Zea mays: one gene and its partners. Each later gene encodes a partner of the first gene's protein in a complex. Links are inferred from orthologs where the notes say so. Each region holds a gene or a part of one and is shown in the gene's direction. Other genes may lie near its edges. The genes, in order: O-sialoglycoprotein endopeptidase, uncharacterized LOC100280033 and uncharacterized protein LOC100276896.

The links.
Region 2: the proteins of O-sialoglycoprotein endopeptidase (region 1) and uncharacterized LOC100280033 are in contact, whole or in part, in a cryo-EM structure (PDB 8K20), measured with the Arabidopsis thaliana proteins. The link is inferred for Zea mays from reciprocal best matches to the Arabidopsis thaliana genes AT4G22720 and AT5G26110. Residues at the interface, in NP_194003.1 of Arabidopsis thaliana: Glu147, Arg149, Arg151, Phe194, Lys202, Gly203, Tyr235, Glu239, Ala243, Val246, Glu247, Glu250, Arg251, Ala254, Arg272, Met280, Glu283, Arg284, Arg329; in NP_001331017.1 of Arabidopsis thaliana: Ala19, Glu20, Lys41, Lys42, Tyr43, His45, Ile47, Leu48, Arg56, Gly158, Leu159, Val161, Asp168, Arg178, Arg218, Gly219, Lys221.
Region 3: the proteins of O-sialoglycoprotein endopeptidase (region 1) and uncharacterized protein LOC100276896 are in contact, whole or in part, in a cryo-EM structure (PDB 8K20), measured with the Arabidopsis thaliana proteins. The link is inferred for Zea mays from reciprocal best matches to the Arabidopsis thaliana genes AT4G22720 and AT5G53045. Residues at the interface, in NP_194003.1 of Arabidopsis thaliana: Arg47, Leu54, Leu58, Gln91, Val92, Ile95, Arg98, Val99, Leu100, Gln102, Leu103, Ile319, Glu320, Asp321, Ser322, Phe324; in NP_850925.1 of Arabidopsis thaliana: Ile33, Thr36, Ser37, Val40, Asp41, Lys42, Ala78, Asp81, Val82, Leu85, Arg88, Thr89, Ile90, Phe93.

What each region holds. Positions count from the first base shown.
Region 1 is NC_050101.1:140,538,917-140,546,612, forward strand, and holds O-sialoglycoprotein endopeptidase, read left to right. Parts: upstream 1-3,119; 5' UTR 3,120-3,148; coding exon 3,149-3,736; intron 3,737-5,243; coding exon 5,244-5,399; intron 5,400-5,491; coding exon 5,492-5,893; 3' UTR 5,894-5,894; intron 5,895-6,613; 3' UTR 6,614-7,023; downstream 7,024-7,696.
Region 2 is NC_050100.1:34,848,778-34,856,602, forward strand, and holds the start of uncharacterized LOC100280033, read left to right. Parts: upstream 1-3,529; 5' UTR 3,530-3,755; intron 3,756-7,280; exon of another isoform or gene 7,281-7,825.
Region 3 is NC_050098.1:199,129,450-199,136,801, forward strand, and holds uncharacterized protein LOC100276896, read left to right. Parts: upstream 1-3,827; 5' UTR 3,828-3,952; coding exon 3,953-4,008; intron 4,009-4,922; coding exon 4,923-4,995; intron 4,996-5,077; coding exon 5,078-5,133; intron 5,134-5,226; coding exon 5,227-5,347; 3' UTR 5,348-5,598; downstream 5,599-7,352. Other genes in the region: Probable xyloglucan glycosyltransferase 1-like, read left to right, coding at 1-244, 1,103-1,411, 1,501-1,791, 1,890-2,003, 2,138-2,758.

The sequences.
Region 1 (7,696 bases):
GTGTAGAATAACATATAATATTTTTGCATATCAATGTATTTTATCACTATTTGAATTGAGCACAAATTTCATGTCATTAGTGTTAATTTGTGAGATATGGGGTTGATGATATATATGTTGTTCGTTTTCATGTATACGTTGTGCACTAATATTTATCGAATAATTTTATACGCCGTCGCAACACACAAGCATATACCTAGTAAACTTATTAGGGCTAGTTTGGAAACCTCAATTTCTCAAGGGATTTCTATTTTCCCAAGGGAAATTAGTTCATTTTCCAATGGAAAAATATAAATCCCTCGGAAAAATATGGTTCCCAAACTAGCCCTTAGATGGAGCTTTTGACATTGATGATTTAAGGTTTTTGCGAACGACTCCTCATAATTACTACACCACACCATCAAGATTTCGGCGAATGGCTCCTCGTAATTACTATACCACTGCTGACAAATAAATGACCTCGCTAAGAAGGTTTATATCTGCAAACATAACCAAGAACACAAGTAATAACAGTAAGAACACAATCAAACTGATATTGGTCACGAGGCGGGGTCTGACAAAGCGGTGAACATTAAGAAAATCTCAATCTTAATGGTGGTGGTGGTTGTTGATAAAATAGGGTTTAGGGGTGTGCAAGTAAGAATGCTAACGAGCTCTAAATTTTACATTATAAAATTTAAGGAACAGATCAAATTAGGACGAGACCTATTTATATTCATTTTAAAACTAAAACTAACTAAGGGTTCAAACAAATTGTAAAAATACATTTGGATCGTGATTCATTACCACCCCTACCCACAAGACCCCTGGACACGTCTCCAATAGGCTCGAACACGATACACAGGCCAACAACAAAAAATATGGTATCACAACACCGGAACAAAATATGGATACTGAGTTTTTCAATGATTCCCGTTGACCCCGAAGTAATTTTAAAACGAGATCAGTTGGGTTGGAAAGCTTATATGATTAGTTTTACATTCATATAAAGAACGCCGAAAATGGAGTCTGTATGTGTTCTGGACGTCAGTTTTAGTGCGAGCTAGTCCTGGACTCCGAGTTAGAGTCAAAGTCGAGTTGGACTTGTACTCTCGCTTGTTGTGGACGTCCTAACTTCTCTCATTAGTACCTAGACCCTTTCTAACTTATTGCTAGTCCTCTCCAAAGTTTCTAACATCAAAACATATATAACACCAAACGTAAACTTTGAAATACAGTTGATGAAGTTAGAACGAACCTATAGATTGAATTATCATGCACGTGCTCGCGTTATTAGTACCTCCATTATATGTATAGGGTGATGTGTCTGCTTGCTCAGCTGGGCAACAAGCTACCTGCATAGCAAGCGCAGCTATGAGTAAATAAAGCGATCCGGAGAAAAAGTGAACGTTGTTGAGCTCTGAAAATTCCTCCGTGTCAAACATCCCATCTTGGGATGCAGGTTTCAGGATGAACTCGGTAGCGAACGAAGTTTGACAAATTGACAATATAATAGAAACCCTTGCACGCCGGCTCCGACCAGCAAGATTGTGAAGGACACGCCCCCCCACAAGCAATTACAAGCCTGTCAAAAGAAAGAACATACTGTAGTTTGCAGCCATATATGATGTATGACGTGATTGGTTGGGCTATTAGGAAAAAAAATCAATCAATTGTAACTTCACGTTGCATCCTTAACAATTTCGTATAAATGCGCAAGACTATTTACAGGATCGGAGGTTCCCTTTTTCAAACACATCTTCCAACGGCGAGTAGTCTACCAGGCGACTTGTGGCTTCTTTCATCCGAGATCCCTGTCATCTCCCAGTCCGAATCACTCTGGTGAAGAAACTTAGGGTGTGTTTGGTTAACGGGTTGACGCGGGTTAGAACGGGTTCAACCCACAATAATTCCTGTTTGGTTCAAAAAGCTTACGAGTTAAGTTGGTTCTAGCTAACTGTATCAGCTTGTCCCCAGCAAGTTCCCTGAAAGTAAATACCGTTTCTTAGTTTTCAAAGCCCCCCATAGGGCCACAGCAACAACAAAACATATTATCTACCACAAACTTTTTTTTTCACTAAGCCACATTTGCCCTGTTGAAACAAAATCAACGCCTACACTCTTATCTAGAGCTTTAGACATACAACACGATAGCTATTTAACTACAACACACAGTCAAAGAAAGAGATGAAAAACTGATCCACAGACTCACTACAAAATAAGCAAGATTTGTCCTCTACTTTCCTTCTCAAACTCAGATTGTCACGAGTTAGTAGCTTGTTCTTAGACAACCATCACAAGAAAAAAGTGAACTCTAGGGGTATATTAAGACTCCAAACATACACCCGTATTACCTCTATGAAGTTAACGACTTTATAAAGTGTTTGAGAGTAATAAACCTCATTAGAAGTAAACTGCTAGATTAAGCAGTCTCCCTTGTGTTAGTAAAAACAATGGTACGGACCGGTTGAATCATCTCCTACCAAACAAAGATTCATTGATCAGAGTAAGTGCTGACATCATTAAGGACCTGTTTGGTTCTCAGTTAACTGTGTTATACTTAGGTTCTGTTTATTTCCTTCTAGAATTATATAATCCAGTTTATGAATTATATAAACATTTATTGATCTGCTTATGGATTATTATAACCTAGGTATATAGATTATATAATCCATCTAATAATCGGTGTTGTTTGTTTACCTCTCAATTTATTTAAGCTGTATTATATAATGTGGAGGGTAAACAAATATGGCCTTAATCTTAAAAAAAAAGTGAGATAAATTGTCACCTAAGAGGATGTTTGTTGATAGGATGTTTGTTTGAGATTATAATACATCTAGATTATATAATCCAACAGCTTTTGAACTAACAGATTATAACTCCAAACAATCAACAACTACCTTCGCACTAGATTGTTATCACAATGACGTTGCCTGATGGCCATATTCAGCAACTGTTGCATGAAAAAAAGATCGTATTTTCCACTGACCTTACATTAATTCGACCACTGTCAGTGGGCCACTGGGCTAAGTTGTTTTGAAATTATGGGCCCTAAGGCCAAAATTGGGCTGGTTTCTTGTACACTTCCACGTTCGAGGCGCGCGGCGAGCCGGGTTCTCACCAATTCGTCTTCTTCCACAAACTCCAAAACCCTAGCGCCGCCGCCGCCATGTCCTCGTCTCCGTCCCCGGCGAACCGCCGTCCCCGGGGCCCGCTTGCGCTGGGGCTGGAGTCCTCGGCGAACAAGATCGGCATCGGCGTGGTCTCCCTCTCGGGTGACATCCTCTCCAACCCGCGCCACACCTACGTGACACCGCCGGGTCATGGATTCCTTCCCCGGGAGACCGCGCAGCACCACCTCGCGCACCTCCTCCCTCTCCTCCGCGCCGCGCTCGCTGAGTCCGGTGTGGCCCCCGCTGACCTCGCATGCGTCTGCTACACTAAAGGCCCCGGCATGGGCGGCCCTCTCCAGGTCGCCGCCGCAGCCGCCCGCGCGCTCTCCCTGTTATGGAGGAAGCCTCTCGTGGCGGTCAACCACTGCGTTGCGCACATCGAGATGGGCCGCGCGGTCACTGGGGCCGTGGACCCCGTTGTACTCTACGTCTCCGGCGGAAACACGCAGGTTATCGCCTACAGCGAGGGGAGGTACAGGATCTTCGGGGAAACGATTGATATTGCCGTCGGGAACTGCCTTGACCGATTCGCCAGGGTCCTAGAGCTCTCCAATGACCCTAGCCCCGGGTATAACATCGAGCAGGTAAACTGTTCCATCAAATGCCAATTTTGTTATCCAATTGCTGTTGCTTAATGTTGTTTAATTCTAGCGATATGCACATAGATGCTGGTTTGTGTGAGTGTTTTTCTAGCATGAAGTATTGTCACCATGACGACTGCATCACATACATGTAAATGCCCTGGGTGGCAAATTGTTAGGGAAATGGTAAAAGTTATTAGTGCACCATGAGTATTTTATCATGAAAGGGTGTTTATGAGTCCTGGAGCTATCAGTGGAACTTTGGCACCTCTTGAACTTTTTACTGACCCTAGCCACTTGAATTTAATTGAAAAATTAACCTACATTACGAAATTCATAGGCAATTTAATTTATGCTGGCTGTACATTTAGTGGCTAGTTTGTTGCCTCCATCAAATAATGGAGTGTTGTACTTGTGGGCAAGATTACTTTTATACTCCCTCCGTTCCAAAATAGTAGTCGTTTTAGCTCTTGATTTTTATGTCTATATTCAAATGGATGAAGATGAATCTAGGCACAAATATAAAACGCAAACATCGACTCATCAAGTATTGTGTGAATCCAATAAATCTCTAAAACGAATTTTATTTTGGGACAGAGGGAGCATGTTTTGTTGAAACATAGCGATCATTTGATTATATTTATGTATTGAACTATATAATATGCTGGGCAGATCTTATGTAGGACTAGTTTTGTGTGACATTGCTTGCATAATGAAGGTCACCATAGATTTATTCAGTCTATGCAATCACTTATGTTTCCTTGTTTTCTTTTAAACTAACACATTTAGGTAGCCAAACACTATCTTACTCTTATTTTGCCAACTCATACAATCAGCCAACAGAACTTATCTTTTTACATACAGCTGAAGAACATTTATTGTATCACGGCCAGGTCAAATGTATCCAATGGGTTGTTTGGTCGTTTAAGCACTTTGACCAGTATGGGGTCATAATTAGCTTCATTCTATATATGTTCCTTTTTCTCAAACCTTTATTCGAATATTGAGACTAAATTTAGCTGACTGTCTGAAGTAGGGCTGCATGTGTTGAATGGTGTTTGGTTGGCTGTATGTGCTAAATTATTTGAGTGGTCGTGTAGATGGATGGACAATAAGCTTTTGAGCCCTGGAAGCCTTCACATTTTATCCCTGGATACATAGGGCTTGAGCTTATAGGATAATCCCAGGAAGTCCCCATTTGATTGGCCTATGTTAAGATTGAACTTCGACACTATTATTAACATTGTTGACACTATGGATTAGTCTGTGTGAATCATTCAAGAGAGTACTTCTGAAGTAGTTCCACATGGTATTGTTATCTACCATTCTACCTTCATCATTGTATTAGCTGTCACCATTAGCATTTTTCTTTCTTTCTTTTTTGTTTTGTTTTTGAAGACATTTTCACTTTGAAGCTTGAACAGATTTATGTTTTTGTACAACATGGCACATTCTTTTCTCATCCTTGAGTTTGGTTTCTTAATTTACCGTATTTATTTTCCTTGTCCAGCTTGCAAAGAAGGGAGAAAAATTCATTGATGTCCCTTATGTTGTGAAGGGTATGGATGTGTCATTCAGTGGCATATTGAGCTTTATTGAAGCTGCGGCGATTGAAAAGCTTAAAAATAATGAGTGCACACCTGCGGACCTATGCTACTCATTGCAGGTACTTGCATGCTCTTAAACTTTCCCCCCTTGTGGATAATAATTGGTTATGCTTTCTTGACAGTGACACTGATGAAAGTCCTAATTTCTCAGGAAACTATCTTTGCCATGCTTGTCGAAATTACTGAACGTGCCATGGCACACTGTGATTCAAAGGACGTTCTTATTGTTGGTGGCGTCGGTTGCAACGAACGTTTACAGGAGATGATGAAGATTATGTGCTCAGAAAGAGGGGGTAGGCTGTTTGCAACTGATGACCGCTATTGTATAGACAATGGGGCAATGATTGCATATACTGGTTTACTGGCGTATGCACATGGCATGACCACTCCCCTTGAGGAGTCGACATTTACACAAAGATTCCGAACTGATGAAGTTCATGCAATTTGGAGAGAGAAGGAGATGCCGGTGCTAAATAATACCCATTCAGATGCAATTGCTGAAGTTTCTAAAGATGAAGCCTCCATGGCAACACCAATCGTTATAGATTACTGAGGTACAATTGGCCTTTACAATTTTGTCTTGCTGCTAATGTTTTTTCATGATAGCTAATGCAATTTGGATTGTTGGAGACAATCGCTACCAATTACTCTCCCTCTATTCCAAACTAAGACATTTTGCTTTACTAGATGCATAGTGTTTGCTATGGCCCTGTTTGGAACCTCTAGAGCTAATACTGCTAAAATTAGTTGTATAGGTCAAACACCCACAACTAATATCCCAATTAATTGTTAGCTAACTCACAGCTAACAATTAGTTCATTAGCTGACTCAACCCAGCTATCAATTTGTTAGCTAGCTAACTAATATCTCTAGGGGTTCCAAACAGGAACCTATGTACTTAGGTGTACACTATGTCTGGATATATATAGTTAAGGCAATGTATCTAGAAAACCCAAAAAATGTGTCATAATTTGAAATGGAAGGAGTACTTGGCAATTCATGTGGAGTTGTGGATGATACGATGTTGGGTGTGATCCCACTTTTCGTGCGTTTGATTTTTCTACATGATGAATATGCTCTACAAATGAAGTTTTCTAGTGCATGAGTTTTACCTAGTGTGCAAACCATGCTGTTAAATGCAAAACTATGCATCTTTTTTTGGACAATACGAAACAGAAGGAACCACTATAGATTTTTTATGCTTCACTGCATATCCTCATGTGTTTTACTTCTGAGCAGCCGCAATCTGATGAGGTTGTTTCTTTTCTGTCAGACAGTAAAGAGTAAATGCTTGTACGGTAAAGCCTAGAACCACTCCTAAGGCTATCTCCAACTGATCTCCTATAGTCCTATCTCATCTCCTATCTCAAACTTCACTCTACAAACAGATAGTTCCACATCTAAATGTGATATCTTTGCTCTGTTTGGGAGAAGCCTCCTCCAGGCACATGGCAGGGGCTCAGAATAGTTGTGCTGTTGTATGAACTGCAGCAGGTAAAATGAACATGTCGTATGCCTGACATACCTGAAGATAGCTGACATGGATCAAACCTCACCAATCGCTGACATGGATCAAACCTCACCTATCACCTTAACATTCTAGTTAGTTACTTCATCGAGTGAACTTATTATTGTTGTAAACTAATAGACGCATTTCTGCAAAGCTAGCTTAACTCTTAAGTTACTCTTGTGATGGTAATCTGTTAAGGTTCTAAAGCAGCCTCTTTTGGATCGACATTGGATTCTTGGGAACGTGGGGAGTTATTTCGATTCGCATCCAATGCACATCAGCTAAGGTGGTGGTTTTCTGTAAAATATATACATTGGATTATTATGTGGGTGTTTTGTTTTGCGAGAAAAAACTACTACGCTTGTGTTGGATGCGAATTGAATGTCTCTAAATGTCTGGGTGCACAGGTTGATGCACAAGATATGTTGTCTTATAAACCCCACCCCAACTAACGTGTATAGATTGCATTATCCAGAAGCGAATGTCCTTGGAATGTGGACAATGGTTTTGTTATGGTCTTATTACCTTTCATGACGCTACGCAGATCATGGACACTGGATACACTTCTTGATGCAAATCTGATTCGGCAAGGATAGATCTTGTTCGTAGGTGTGTTGTACGTTGTCTACGGATCGGGTGTCATTCATGTAAGACAGACATGCGACTGGTAACGGGCCGTTAATATTTTGTGACATTCTGGTAGAAGATGCAGATCTGATTTGGAAAGAAAGTGGGTCTTGCTAAGTGTGTTCGGCTGTTGGGTACGACTTCCGTATCATATATGTTGTGACAGTTTGACAGAAGATTTGAAGAGTGAAGTTTCTGATTTGAAAAAAGTATTTCGGG
Region 2 (7,825 bases), on another chromosome or scaffold:
TAACACTCCACATAGAATAATCTTCACCATAAAAAACCGGTGGTTTGCCTAATGTGACGGAAAGTAAAGGAGCGTGCTTTGAAATACGGAGATAATGTAAGGGGATCTTACTAAACTTCTTGCGCTCATGGCGCTTAGAAGTGAGGGACGCGACGTTAGATCCGAAGGTGGAGGGCGACGAAGAATCAGTCTCGTAGTAGACCACTTTTTTCATCTTCTTCTTCTTGTCGCTACTCCAGTGCGACTTGACACGGGGAGGTGATTCCTCCCTTCCTTTGGTGCCAGACTCCCTTGATGGAGCCTTCCCCTGGCTTGTGGCCTTATCGCCGGTTTCCATCTCCCTCTTAGCGGAGCCTCCCGACATCACTTCGAGTGGTTAGACTCTAAATGAAGTACCAGGTCCTGATACCAATTGAAAAGTCGCCTAGAGGGGAGGGTGGATAGACGGAATCTAGAATTTATAAACTTAAGCACACACTACAAGCCAGGGTTAGCGTTAGAATTAAATCCAAGTCCGAAAGAGAGTGAAAACAAATCAACCAAGAAATAGAGCTAATGAACACAATGATTTGTTTTACCGAGGTTCGGTTCCAAATAACCTAGTCCCCGTTGAGGTGGTCACAAAGACCGGGTCTCTTTCAACCCTTTCCCTCTCTCAAACGGTCACTTAGACCGAGTGAGCTTTCTCCTTAATCAAACGGGTCACTTAGACCCCGCAAGGACCACCACACACTTGGTGTCTCTTGCTTTGATTACAAGTCACTTGATAATAAGAATGGGAAAAGAAGAAAGCACGATTGCAAAAGCCAAGCGACAAGAGCGACAAATAACACACATATCACTCTCTCTCTCTCAAGTCACTAATCACTAATGATCACTTGTCTTAATTGTTGAACTTGGAGAGATTGGAAGCTTTGATTGTGTCTTTGAATGGATTGCTAGCTCTTGTATTGAATGTGAAGGATTGGAGTGCTTGGGTGAAGTGAATGGAGGTGGTTGGGGTTGTATTTATAGCCCCAAACCACTTCCTAGCCGTTGCTCCCTTCTGCCGACCGCGGACGGTCCGCACCCCTGGTCTGGACGGTCTGCCCCTGCACATCAATGGCTAAAATCGCAACGGTCAGCAGTAACGGCTATATCAACGACTACTATGCATTAAATGCGTCGTCAGATGTCAGGTACCGCAGTCGTGGACGGTCCGGTCGTGCACCCCGGACGGTCCGCGAGGACGCTTAAAATTCATTTTACCGAACCCGTCACCTTCGGGTTTTCTGGTTCTTCACCGACCGGACGGTCCGCGCCTGAGGCTGGACGGTCCGCACTTGGTCTCGGACGTTGCTCACTTCTCAATCGGACGGTCCGTAATGTTGTCTTGCGTTTATGCAGTGTTCCTGTACGAGGGTCACCCTGGTGTCGCGGACGGTCCACCCTTAGGTGATTTTCCAAAAAGCTTCTCCTGTCCGGAATAATCTACGGTATTCCAGACAGTCGAGTTAGAATGGTTGTAGATGAACTTATGCACCTGTGAAATGATCAACTAGGCAATCTGGTTAGTCAAAAAGGTTTGTGATGGTCGTCAAACACCAAAATCGATTATAGGAAATGTCTGAGACTATTTCCCTTTCACTTTTAATATACAATTTCTCATTGAACACAGAAGTATCTGCAATATAATCAGCTTGACAAGCTGCCATTGCTTTCTCGGTCTCTCATCGATATGGTATGATATAATATATATAGGTCAGCCTACTTGTATTGTGGATCCGTTTAATTTCTTTCCATTAGGCCTTGTTTGGAAGTCCAATTCCGAGGGAGAAAACGAGCATTTCACCGTGGCCACAACCCACCGTGGAAATAGGCCCGGTGAAAATTTCCGGTCCGTTTGGAACGTGCTCACCCGGGTCAGCGCTCCCCCAACCCGACCTATCACCGGGGGAACCCCTTCCCGGACACTTGACTCCAGGCACCTTTCCACGACGCGGCGCGACGAGACGGGAAGTCGTCTGCGCAGCCATAGTGCAGTCGTAGCCACTACCATCTATGCGCCGCCGTCCGCTCCATCACCACCATCTATGCATCGCCGTTCGCTCTGCCGTCGTCCATAGCGCCGCCGCTGTCTTCCACGGACGATATATGGTCTTCGCCCTCCTCTCGCTTTCCTAGGGTTTCGAACCATTCCCCCAATTTGATGTTAACTCTTCTTCGGCTTTGATTTCCAAGATCCAGTACAAGGTTGTTGCTGTTAGGCCGCTCAGGTTTGTTGAATGCCGGTGTCGCGCTCGTGCTACAGAACCAAAAGATCCAGTACAAGGTTTGCTGAACTCATGCTCTGTACGATCTGCTCTGTGCTCTGTACGATCTGCTCTGTGCTCTATACTTTCTCTTGCAACTATGGATTCAGTGTTGGTAATAGCTAGTTAGTTAACTGTAAACCAGTGGGGAAAGTGGCATGGGGTATCTTTGTTGCTGTTGGTGTCTCTGAGCATATAGAATTGCGGAATAGATGTCTCTGGGCATATAGATCTATCAAATAGTTGCCGAAGAGGGATGAGGGTGATTAATTAGTGATCAATTGTTTGTCTCGTTAGTACTTGCCATGGTTGTTCAATGTTTCCTTATCTATTGTCTCATTGTTTGTGCTGATGCTAGTACTTTTGATTTTGATAATTTTATATTTCTTTCAAATGATAATTGTAACTTTAGTTTGTTCTAATTTATATAGGTATAAACCATTTTGCTGTGGCATATTGATTCAGCTGGTTAAATTTTACAAGTGTATGATGTTTACCTGCATAGCCTTGTTCAAAATCTTTGCGAGAACATTCGGTATTGTCTCGAACAGAAATGCTTGTCATGCCTTTTGCTATGATTATGTGTTGCTTATGTAGTTTCTCGATTTCTCTAGATATGGGTTATTGGGAAGAGCTAGCTATACAGTTTTTGTTGGAGGAAGAAGAAGACAATGCAGAGTTTTTCTTTATTCTTCTCCCTGCTGTACTTCCATTCCTCTCTAAAAAGAAAAGGTCTATCCATACCTCCTCTCTCTGGTGCCTAGAAGGTTAAGGAGATTCTCGAAGGGCATGAGAGTTGGTGCAAGTCGAGTTTCGAATGAAGCCAGAAATATTTAGAGCCACATCAGATTTCCTTAGAAGAGAGGGTTTGTTACGTGACACATGAGGAGTTAACGTCGAAGAGCAGGTTGGGATGTTCATGTATATGATCTCCTATAATGCCAGTAACCAAATGCTTCAAAAGGCTTTCCAACACAGTGGAGAGACTATCAATCGAAAAATATCAGAAGTTTTCGATATAGTTTCCACCTATGATGCACGAATACTTCTCAAAATTTACGTATGATGTCGGATGCCGTATCAGATACGGATACTCCTCCGATACTTCCGGATACGTATCCGAGGCTATGAATTTAAATAAATAAAAAAAGACGGATACAATTGGACACGTGCGTGATACCCTGATTTCCCCTGCGCACTGCTTCTCCCCACGGCGCACGCGCACCATCTCCTGCGCGCCGCCAGTCCGGCTTCTCCTGGCTCCTGCGCGCCGCCAGCCGTCAGCCCGTCACCGATTGGAGATCCTTGGAAACCTGCGCGCCGCCAGCCCGTCACCGCTTGGAGACCCGCTCAGCCGCGCTTCCCTGCGCGCCGCCAGCCGTCGCCGATCCGTGGCCGCGTCCGCCGCCGCCAGCTCTGAGGTCGCGCCGTCAGCCAGCCCGTCTGCCGTCGTGAGGTACTGAGGTTTGTGATCTGCCGACATCTCCCATCTGCCCTGCCTGACGCTGTACTTGTCCGGTTGTCCCATTCTCTGTTCTTGTTAGATCCCAATATCCCATGGCAACGTGTGCATCTACCGATGCTAGCAGCATTAAATGTTCTTGGTACTAGTAAATCCATGATTAACTTATTAAGATTACTATGGCATTGATCCATTTCAGACATTTCAACATTTAATTTTATTTATAATATATATTGCGTATCGCCGTATCCGTATTTTTTGAGAAATGGCGTATCGGGGTATCGGCGTATCGCGTATCCGTATCTGTATCCCCGTATCAGGGCAACATAGGTTCCCACTCTAACTCAGCGGTCCGTGAAGCTTCCCAATTCTATCCAGACACATCAAAAAATTATAACAGATTCTAGGTTCATGTCCTTTTTTCAGGTGACCTATCAATAAACATGATTTCCTTAGTTTTTCCCTTTAACATGCCCTAAACTTCCTCTCCTTTTATACAGAATTGCACTCTGAGACCAAAGGAAAACCCCCAAATCGAAGCTATGGCTCCCAACTCACCAAATAGATCCTCGCGACCAGCTAGAATTTTTGAGGCACCCACCACCCGCTGGGCGGAGGAACGAGGGGGAAGAACCGGTCGTCGGCCCAACCGTGCAGATCTGGCCGAAAGGTCATGCTTGCGGAGAGCGGATGGCTGGCCCTGCCCTAGGGCCCTCGCTGGCCTCCGTGACGCCAGGCTCTGCCGCATATGGGTGGGGGTTGACTGCGAGCGGTGAGGGGCGGCTGCGGCGACCTCGTGGATGGGCATTGCGGCTGGCTGTGGAAGGGCATCATAGTTTAGGGGTGGCGTCGAGGCCGAGACCGATGGAAGAGCCGATCTCAGATGGGTCACGGGGTGGCGGTATCAAGGACGGGGGCGAGGTACTGGGCCACGCGAGGTGGTGGCGTGGAGGGAGGGGATCAATCGTGGGCTAGGGGGCAGCGGGTTTCCGAGGGAGCTAGGGGGGGGGGGGCACAAGGAGGACATGAGTGGGGGCATGGTTGTGCATGTGGTCTACACTATTGACTTAATAGATAGTAGAGATATGCAATAACCGTATATACAAAGAAGTTCCACTATTAATTGGAATTGACAAACTGTATAATGATTATTCAATATTAAAGAAAGAGATGATGTTATACCTTATGAGATTATTCATCAATATTAAAGAAAGGACTTACTAGTCCCGGTGCTTTGCTTCTGCAGTTTGAACCTGGAAGCAAAATGCACTGCTTGGCCTGTAAACACGAAGCTATTATAGATGGAAAGAGAGCCATTCCTGCTTGACATGTTACAACACTTGGGTTTTGGTCGAAGCTGGTGCAACCTTATTAGTCTGTTGCTTTGCACTTCCTCTACACGGATCCTTGTCAATGGCGAGCCTAGGGAATACATTCTGCATCATAGGGGTCTTCGGCAAGGCGATCCTTTGTCCCCCATGCTGTTTATCCTTGTCATGGAGGCTTTGAATGCTATGGTCAGTTATGCTTTCAGGGAACATATGCTGCAGCCGATTGCAAATCAACATGCCAAACATTGTATCTCCTTCTATGCTGACGATGTTGTTTTGTTCATGCGGCCCTCTCATCAGGATATCTCAGCAATTATCAGCATTTTAGACATCTTTGGTCATGCTACTGGGTTAAAAACGAACATCTCCAAAAGTTCTGTTACACCCATTCAATGTGGAGCGAATGAGCTGACCACCATTTCTGCCTTGTTACCATGTGCTACAAAAAATTTTCCCTGCACTTACTTGGGGATTCCTCTATCAATCCGTAGGCTTGCTAACTCTGATCTCCTGCCGTTTGTTGATAAAGTTGCTGATAAACTTCCAGGATGGAAAGCTAATCTTCTCAGCCGGGCTGGTCGTCTTGTCATGGTTAAGACAGTGTTGTCTTCTGTCCCTATCTATCTTATGCTTGCTTTAGAACTACCTAAATGGGTTTTTAAGGCAATCGATAAGAGGAGACGAGGCTTTCTTTGGAAGGGGCAAGGTGATGCAAATGGAGGTAACTGTCTCGTGTCTTGGGAAGCTGTCCAGCGGCCTCTCAAGTATGGTGGTCTGGGTATTCTCAACCTGGAGATGTTTGGATGGGCCCTACGTGCCAGGTGGCTTTGGTTACAAAAGACTGACGCGTCAAGGCCATGGGCTGGTCTCCCTATCCGAGTGCACCGTAATGCAAAGGCCCTCGTTGATGTGGCTATTACCTCAGTGGTAGGCAGTGGTGAATCTGTGAAGTTCTGGTCTGATTGTTGGCTCCTTGGTAAAACTGTGGCTGAACACTGTCCAACCCTTATCCAAGTGATTTCTAGAAGGGCTTTAAAGCGAAGAACAGTAGCTGAGGGGCTCACAAATCGTCAATGGGTGTCAGATATTCGGGGAGGATTGTCTGTAACGGTCCTAGTAGAGTATCTGCAGCTATGGAACTTGGTTGATGGGGTAGTTCTGCAACCTGACATCGCAGACCAACACATCTGGCGCCTCTCTGCTCATGGTACTTATTGTAGCAAATCGGCCTATGATGCTCTCTTTGTTGGCTCTATCCCTTTTGGCCCTTGGCGACGTGTCTGGAAGACCTGGGCCCCCTTACGATGCAAATTCTTTGTATGGTTGGCAATCAAAAACAGGGTTTGGACAGCTGATCGACTTGCTAAAAGAGGTCTGCCCCATCCAGTTGCTTGCCCTCTGTGTGATCAGGCCGAGGAAACCATCCAACATATTCTTGTCTCTTGCGTGTTCGCTCGGCAGATATGGACGTCCATGCTACACAATTTAGGCCTCCTTGCCATTGTGCCTCAGCATGGATGCACTCGTTTCTCAAATTGGTGGTGCCAAAGTATCAAGAAAGTGGAGAAGAGTCTAAGAAAAGGTCTTAATTCCTTGATCATTTTGGTTGCTTGGGAGATTTGGAAGCATCGTAATGCTTGTGTTTTTGAGGGGGTTGTGCCCTGCACCCAGCGAGTTCAGAGTGCTGTGATTGAGGAGGGCAACTTCTGGTGTTTGGCTGGTGCATCAGCTCTGCAGGACCTCCTGCTGCACAAGCTCCCTAGGGGACCTTAGCAGTTTTCCTGCTGGTAGTCGTTTTTGGTCGGGTTGTTACCTTGTGTGTGTGTGGTGCGTTGTGTTTTTGCCGGAGGGGTCTCGGCCTTGGGGCCTCTGTAATTAGGGGTTGACAAGTCTTGTCTCTCCTATGTTCTTTTTTTCTTCTTAATATAATGACACGCAGCTCTCCTGCGTTTGTTCAAAAAAAAAAAAAAAGAGAACGCCTTGATATACGACAGTATTAACGCATTAAACTAGCCATAATGGCCTCATTTAGACAGGAAACCAAAATTTTTAGTACATAAGCTTCTTCATCATGATACTATAATGCTAGTTTCAAAAAGAAAAGAAAAAAGATACTAAAATGCTAACTCAATTACAAAGGGGATCCTAGGAACACCACCTCCTCTTCCAATGCACAGGTGACACTTTGCCAACCACTTGGAGGTGCAGGTCGATTTTGTTTTATTTCTTGATTTCGGACTACGGCTACCACTTGGAGGTGCAGGTCGAACAAAAAGAAAGGCTACGGCTCTGTTCTTGATTTCGGACGAACACAACAACAGAACGGGACCCTCTTCTTCTTTTTCTTCTGCCCGCCACCGCGGTCCTTCCTCCCACACAGATAGTCCCTCAAAAGCACGCGAGTGCGCTTATCAGAGACTTTGAGCCTTCTGTACTCGTGCTCTTCCTCAAGCTTCAGCAAGACATACTGAATCTTCTGAAGCTCCAGTTCCAACCTTGCCACATTCTCCGACCCTTTCTGCACCTGCTCGGAGATCTTCCTCCTGCTGGAATACCCTTCTCGCTCGGTGCTCATATTATCTGACAGTGTGGGGTAGTTCTCAGCCGTCCTAGTCAATTTGTTGTTCAGATTGATCTGTTCCAAGACATGGCCCTCTGTCTCATGCACCTGAGCGCTCACACTGCTGTACTCAAGAGTTCATAGGGGATTTTCCCTTTGACTGCCCCTCCATTTTCTGCTT
Region 3 (7,352 bases), on another chromosome or scaffold:
CTGGGCGCGCGTCCGTCTCGAGTACCTCGCGCCGGCGCTGCAGTTCCTGGCGAACGCGTGCGTCGTGCTCTTCTTGGTCCAGAGCGCCGACCGCCTTATCCTCTGCCTGGGTTGCCTCTGGATCAAGCACAGGGGCATCAGGCCTGTCCCCAAGGCTGGTGGCAAAGGGTCAGACGACGTCGAGGCCGGCACCGGGAACTTCCCCATGGTGCTCGTGCAGATTCCAATGCGCAACGAGAAGGAGGTGAGCTGGAAACAAAAGCATTTCGATTCTCTGCCGGATTCGGGATGTGTTCATGCATTTGGGATTGGGCCTTGAGTGCCCTAGAAGCATTGGTGGTCGCAGAGATCGAAAGATTCGATTTTCAAGCTGAAACTGGGAGGACTCAACAGATGGTGGAATACTGGAATGGGTAGTTTTAGACTGGGGAAACCTTGGCTCTAGTGCCACTAGCGGAAACACAAAGGGCTCTAGTTCTACGTACCATTTGGGGATTGGACTGATGCATATGCATACAAATGGTATGTGGCAGTTTCAATTTCTGGCAACAACTCCCGAAAGCACCAGTACATGGTTACTACTATAGTTGCTACCGACATTTTGGTGAGGTTTTTCTTCTCAAAGTTCGTTAAAAACTCGATTCTGAAATTGGAATCTGTGGTCATTGGTCAAAGGAAAATAAAGTCTGTTTTGGGTTGGGGGACGGGATTCTAGAATACACTCCTGTCTCTCTTGTTTCGCACCTTGGCCTCCCAAAACACATTTAGACCTTGTTCGTTTCTCTAAGAATACACCATGAATCGTTCTAGGTGATCAAAATTTATATAAACGAGGGAAACAATCCAAGCTAGGAACGGTTCCGAGTCACCGGAAAACCGAATGGCCCCTTAGGAAGTTGGAGGAATAGAAAATTCTCAAATTTTGTCTTTTGCAAAAGAGGACTAATGGACATTGAACTGATCGTAGGCTTGGAGGAGGAAACCGCTGAAACCAATGGTTGTTATGTTAGCATGTTTTTACATCTTACTAAATTACTACTTCAGAAAAGTCTAAGATTACATTTTTTTAACAATCTTGAAGCGGGGATTTATATGGTTGCAGGTGTACCAGCAATCTATTGGTGCTGTTTGCGGTCTGGACTGGCCAAGGCCAAACTTCTTGGTGCAGGTGCTAGACGATTCTGATGACGCTGCCACTTCAACACTTATTAAAGAGGAGGTGGAGAAGTGGCAACGGGAAGGCGTTCGCATATTGTACCGACACCGGTTAATTCGTGATGGCTACAAGGCTGGAAATCTCAAGTCAGCCATGAACTGCAGCTATGTAAAGGATTATGAGTTTGTTGTTATCTTTGATGCTGATTTTCAACCCCAGCCAGACTTCCTGAAGCGAACTGTGCCCCATTTCAAGGTTTGGCGGACATCTTTTGCTTGCATTTTCATCTAAGGATGAGTCCATGTGAATTCAATTGTCTGACTCATTGTGCGAGAGGTTTCTAGGGCAATGAGGACGTTGGGTTAGTTCAGGCAAGGTGGTCTTTTGTGAACAAGGATGAGAACTTGCTAACTAGGCTGCAAAACATAAACCTTTGCTTCCACTTTGAGGTGGAGCAGCAGGTTAATGGGATCTTCCTCAATTTCTTTGGATTCAATGGAACGGCAGGAGTGTGGAGAATAAAGGCACTCGAGGATTCAGGTGGATGGATGGAGAGGACAACAGTGGAGGACATGGATATTGCTGTCCGAGCACACCTCAAGGGTTGGAAGTTTCTGTTCCTTAACGATGTTGAGGTACTTACACATATATAACATTTTACTTTATGGTTATATTATATTGTGTTAAGACTTGTGATTACAAATGAAGCTGTGTTGCATGATTATTCTTTCAGTGCCAGTGTGAATTGCCGGAGTCATATGAGGCATATCGAAAGCAGCAACACCGATGGCATTCTGGTCCCATGCAGTTATTTAGACTCTGCTTTGTGGATATTATCAAGTCGAAGGTGTGGACCTTTCCTTGCTCTCTATGATTATATGCTCAACAATAAGTTAACATGTTTGCTTTTCGGAAAATTTTGAACCTTTTTTTATGCTGGGGCTAACCGCTAACCTTTCATTCCTTTTTTTTTTGCTGCAGATCGGATTCTGGAAGAAGTTCAACCTCATATTTCTTTTCTTTCTCCTCCGCAAGCTCATTCTGCCCTTCTATTCCTTCACCCTTTTCTGCATCATCCTTCCCATGACGATGTTTATTCCCGAAGCCGAGCTCCCTGCCTGGGTCGTGTGCTACATCCCGGCGACCATGTCCCTGCTGAACATCCTCCCAGCCCCGAAATCGTTCCCGTTTATCGTGCCCTATCTCCTGTTCGAGAACACCATGTCGGTAACCAAGTTCAACGCCATGGTCTCCGGCCTGTTCCAGCTCGGGAGCGCCCACGAGTGGGTCGTCACCAAGAAATCAGGCCGTTCTTCCGAGGGCGATCTCGTCGTCGAGAAGCAGCCTAGACAGCAAAGGGCAGGGTCCGCATCCAACCTTGGTTCCCTTGCAAAGGAGCCTTCCTCCAGTCTCAGAAAGGACTCCCAAAGGAAGAAACACAATAGGATATACAGGAAGGAGCTGGCGCTCTCCTTCCTTCTCTTAACAGCAGCTGCTCGGAGCCTGATATCGGTGCAAGGAATACACTTCTACTTCCTTCTGTTCCAAGGGGTATCGTTTTTGGTCGTTGGGCTCGATCTGATCGGCGAGCAAGTTGAGTGACGGGAATACAAGGGAGAGTAATGGCGGTATTTGTTTTTGCTGCGAGCGGTGGCAATGCGAACAGGGAGCACTTCAGGTAAAGGCAGGCACGGTATATGATTCAACGCAAACACGAGAAGATTTGGTTCCGGATTAAGAGGGGTTATAGATGGTTAGGGATACTTGAAACGGTGTACTGTGGATTGTAGATATATGGCTTGAGACTGTGGACTGGGGTCTGATTCTTTTGTAAGAAAATCTTTCAGTGGGGTCATTTTGCTTTCTTGACAGTTTACCTTCAAAGGGGGATACTGTTTGGGATCCATGTAATTTGGCCAGTTAGTACGAATGCATACTGAATGATACTTGTTCGTTTCTTGAATTCTAACATGTGGATAAAGGATTGCGCTAAGGGGAACCCAGAAAAAGGGAAGAAGATGTTCTGCATGAGTGCATCAGTAGAATGCCTACGGGCTCTGTTTGTGAATGCAAGAGCGCAAGTATGAGCGACTACTGCTATTGCCGTCAAAGCAGTTGACGATCGGTGAATCGGTGATGGTGGGGTGAAGCTAACGAGGAGGAAGATGAGTTTGACCCCGACGATAGAAGTGGTTGGCGATAGCATTTAATTTGTCGCTAAGACCATGTCCAATAATTCACATTCAAAACACTGTCAGTGTAGAATTTGTTAGTGTAGAATTGCACAGTTTGTTCATAAAGTGGAGTTTAAATATATGTATGAAGATGAGAATGAATAAACTATTAGAGATAAAATAGCCTAACGGACAACATCCCGTTTTCAAAATAAATCGTAAAAATAAAATCAGAGGAGAGGTTATCTCGATCGATTCCGCTTTCGTTTTCAATCTCTACTCGGTCCTCACCTCGTGTATGCTGTATGGTACTTGCTACCTACTGCCATGCTGGGCTCGTCCAGGAGAGTTGAGAGTTAAGCCCGTCGACAGCATTATCGACTAAGTGGCCCTACATGGGCCCAGATCACATGCGGCTCACGAACGGTAATCTTCCAGCCCACTTGTCCAGCAGTGATGGTGGAGAGAGACAGGGTATCAGGGGAACTGGGGAAGGGGTTTAGGAACAACCCATCTCCATTCACCAACGGCGCCTCCAACTCCGAGCGCCGCCTCTGCCTCGAAAACTCTTACTCGCGGAGCTGCAGCCAGGGGGGCGACCGGTGTGTGAACCGCTGCCGCTATGGCTGCTGCTTCCGTTCCGCCAACATCTTCATCCGGCGGCTGGGACTTCACCTGGTGAGTCTTCCCTCCCTGCCCGTCTTCCAGTCTCCCTGCCTTCTATCCCTGGCCGGCAGTGTGCGGATGCAGTCAGATTTGCGTACTGTTTAGGTACGTAGCTTCCTTGCTCAGCTAATTTGCTGTTACGATTCCTTTGTGCACTGCGAATGCTGTTGACGGCTGTGCCCTGCCCTGTGCGAGGCTGCACCGCCATGCTTGTTTCATGTTCGACGGATTTCCTTGGAGAGAAACTAACGGTTATTGTTAGGCAGAAAATGGCAGTGTATAAACGAATGTCTAGACCACCTAAGTTCGGACTCTCTTTAGGGGCCGTTTGGATTCCTTTATTTTGGAGGAATTAGGATCTACTTAATAGAGTAGGCTATTTAGCTTGGAATTTTGACATTCCACCACTTTCTAAAATCTAGATATAAGTTTATCTCAAATTGATAGGATGAAGCGTGGAAATTGATTTATTAATGTATCACCAGACTATGTTTCCACTCTATAATTGTTAGTCAAAGATTTAAAAGGTTAGACTTCTTAAAATACACGCATGCCTTAATCAATGGGATGAAGGTACATAGGAAAACCGTGTATTTTCATGAATGATTGTTGGGGAAAAACCGACTGAACCTGTGGGAATTGGTAGCATGTAGATGTAGCTTGGCAAGTCCATCCTTATTATGATTTCCAGGGAGGGGTAACTCGATATCAGTGTCCATAGCTTTGCTTGGTTCCCCGATTGACCTCGACACCGTGCTCTGATGATAATTTGAGATGATATTTTCCTGATGGGTCAAAGAAAAAGAAAAACGCAACGACTTGATACATGTTACCACTACTTCCCTACCGTGTAGGAGTATTTTGCTTCTGCTGTGAATGATTTCTGGGTAGAACTCACAGCGCACCACTGACATATCGTTTGGCAGTAACCTTGAAGTCGATTATGGGTCTGAAGAAAATGCATCCATAGTCTACAGAACGTTAGCAGTTGACAAGGAGGTAAAGTAGCCGTATTCTACTGGCACTTTGTGAACTCGTCCAGTTTTCATCTTGCCGACAGCTTTGCAACTTTATATTGCAGTTGCAGCCTGACAAGGTGAAGAGGGAGATGACTCTATCAGGCAGCAAGCTGGCCGTGTTAGTATATCCGTTCTGTCATCTCTAACTGTTTTTCTGCGCGTTCCCGTGTCAAGGCTAAAGACTGAAGTCCATCTTATTTTGCGAATTCAGCCACTTCGCAGCCGTGGAGGCCCGCTTCCTGCGAGCATCGTTCAGCTCATTTGTGGATCTTATGGGACTCGTGACGAAGCTCGTCGAAGAATATGGTGTGGCCAATGCAGGGCATTCTTGAATCTTGATGAACAATCTCATACACGGCATTGCGGAGTTGATTTTAGTTCGCCTGTGAGCAATTTGGAGTTTTGGACAGTCTTTACCAGTGGAACTGCTCTTGATCTGTGTCAAGCTAGTGTAGTATTTGCCCTTGATTGGTCAAATCCTATTCGGAACGGTTAATTCTTTTCGGCAATGCCGTTGTGAAATGTATAGATGATGAATAGGTAAAAATTATCTATATATCCTCAGTTAGGCTTTCTCCACGAGTAATGAGTGGTCTTGGTCTGGTCTCTGGTTGTGGCCTCTCCGGATGATGCTATATGTCATCTCCCATCTCCGTTATCGTGTTTCTCGGTAAAAAAAACGTTACGAGCCGTTTTCTCTATGCAGTGGCAGCTACACCATAAACATAACTGTTATGATATTGCAAGACTATCCTAAGATAATATAATAATGCGCACAAACACGAGGGGTGTCTATTTCTTACTTTTGATCGTTAGAAAAAACCTAGAACAAGCACTGATAATAGTGGTCTTACTAATCTAAGCACTTCGCAAAACAACTACGTTAATTAACGAGTAATTTCTTAAGCATTTAGATGTTTAGAGCTATTGTGTTTGAGTCTCAACTCAATGGCTATTTTTTCTCAGCTCCTACACATCTCAAATGGCTGGTTTAGGATCCTATTAATAGCCTTAAGGAGAGATATAGCTGTTGTACTAATAAAAGCCAACTCCACTCACCATCTGATCGTCCAATGGTTGCACTGTTGGACCAACGCCTCACAACGGCTCTTGTCAGTATTGTGTCAACACAGGCTGTTGCCCGACTGTCAGGGCCACGCTCTGTAGTGTATAGTGCGACGTCGTTGGACCAATTTGACACCACACTTTTCTATCTGGAACCTTTCTGCGTGATCGTTAGACTCGTCTAAAGTGTTCTCACGTCCATGAACAGTTACGATCTAAGCTACTGTGAGATGAATAGTATGACTGTATGGTCTAATGCTCTAATGATTAATGGTCTTGTGATCACATCAGATGTCCTGTTCTTCAGTCGACTAGTGTTTGGTTCTACCGTATAGTTCCTTTAAATCCTTTTTTTGTTTTGTTTATTTATGATTTTTGTGTTCAGCTTGGTTCTATCCTGTGTTCTTAGATTCTTGCATAATCTTGTAGGTCATCAATGAGCCTTCTAATGTCTTTTTTCAGGTGTTGATTATCATGATCACCTCTTTGCTTTCGTCCAAGTCTATATTACATCTTTTAAACTATATCAACATTAGTGTATAAAATTATTTTAAACAGTTACGTTGATCATCAAACATCAAAACATAATTGTCGAATTAGTCTTGGTCTGTTTTCCTTACACGTGAGTGCTCCAATAAGAATTAGTATTGAGTGGCAGCTTTCTTTCTAGCCCTTTACTTTGAGCATTTGCATTTGAGAAAATTAATGCTTAACCTTGCATTACTACAATTGATATGCTAGAACAAGGTTGAAACCTAATATATATAATTTTTATGGTAGAAAGGAAAACACTCGTAGAAACAAGGAACAGTGTGGGCTATCCAATATGATTTAGTTGTTTCAAGAAATTAGCCTAATTCACCTCGATTACTCCGCTGTGAAAAACCGGACAAAACACTTCAGAGCTTATTAAAAAAAACTCAAACTGCAAAGGCTCATATGCTCTGGCATGCTTTGGTGTAGGATACATGAGAGGATTTTTTTTAACTCCAATCTAAATTTCGTTTTCATTGGGAATTAAATTCAGAACATGAGAAATGCTACTCAATTCATACAACCAACTCAACTAGTGACCATTTTGCACCCCGGTGCTTAATAATCATCACAATGCGTATAAAATTAGCCTAACTCACCCCTGACTGTATTCCGCTGTGAAAAACCGGGCCAACACTTAGGTGCTTATTAATCATCAAAATGCGTATGAGCACTTATAAAGAGAGACATGGGACATTTATTTCCATTTAGTCATACTGTAAAGAGAGACATGGGATG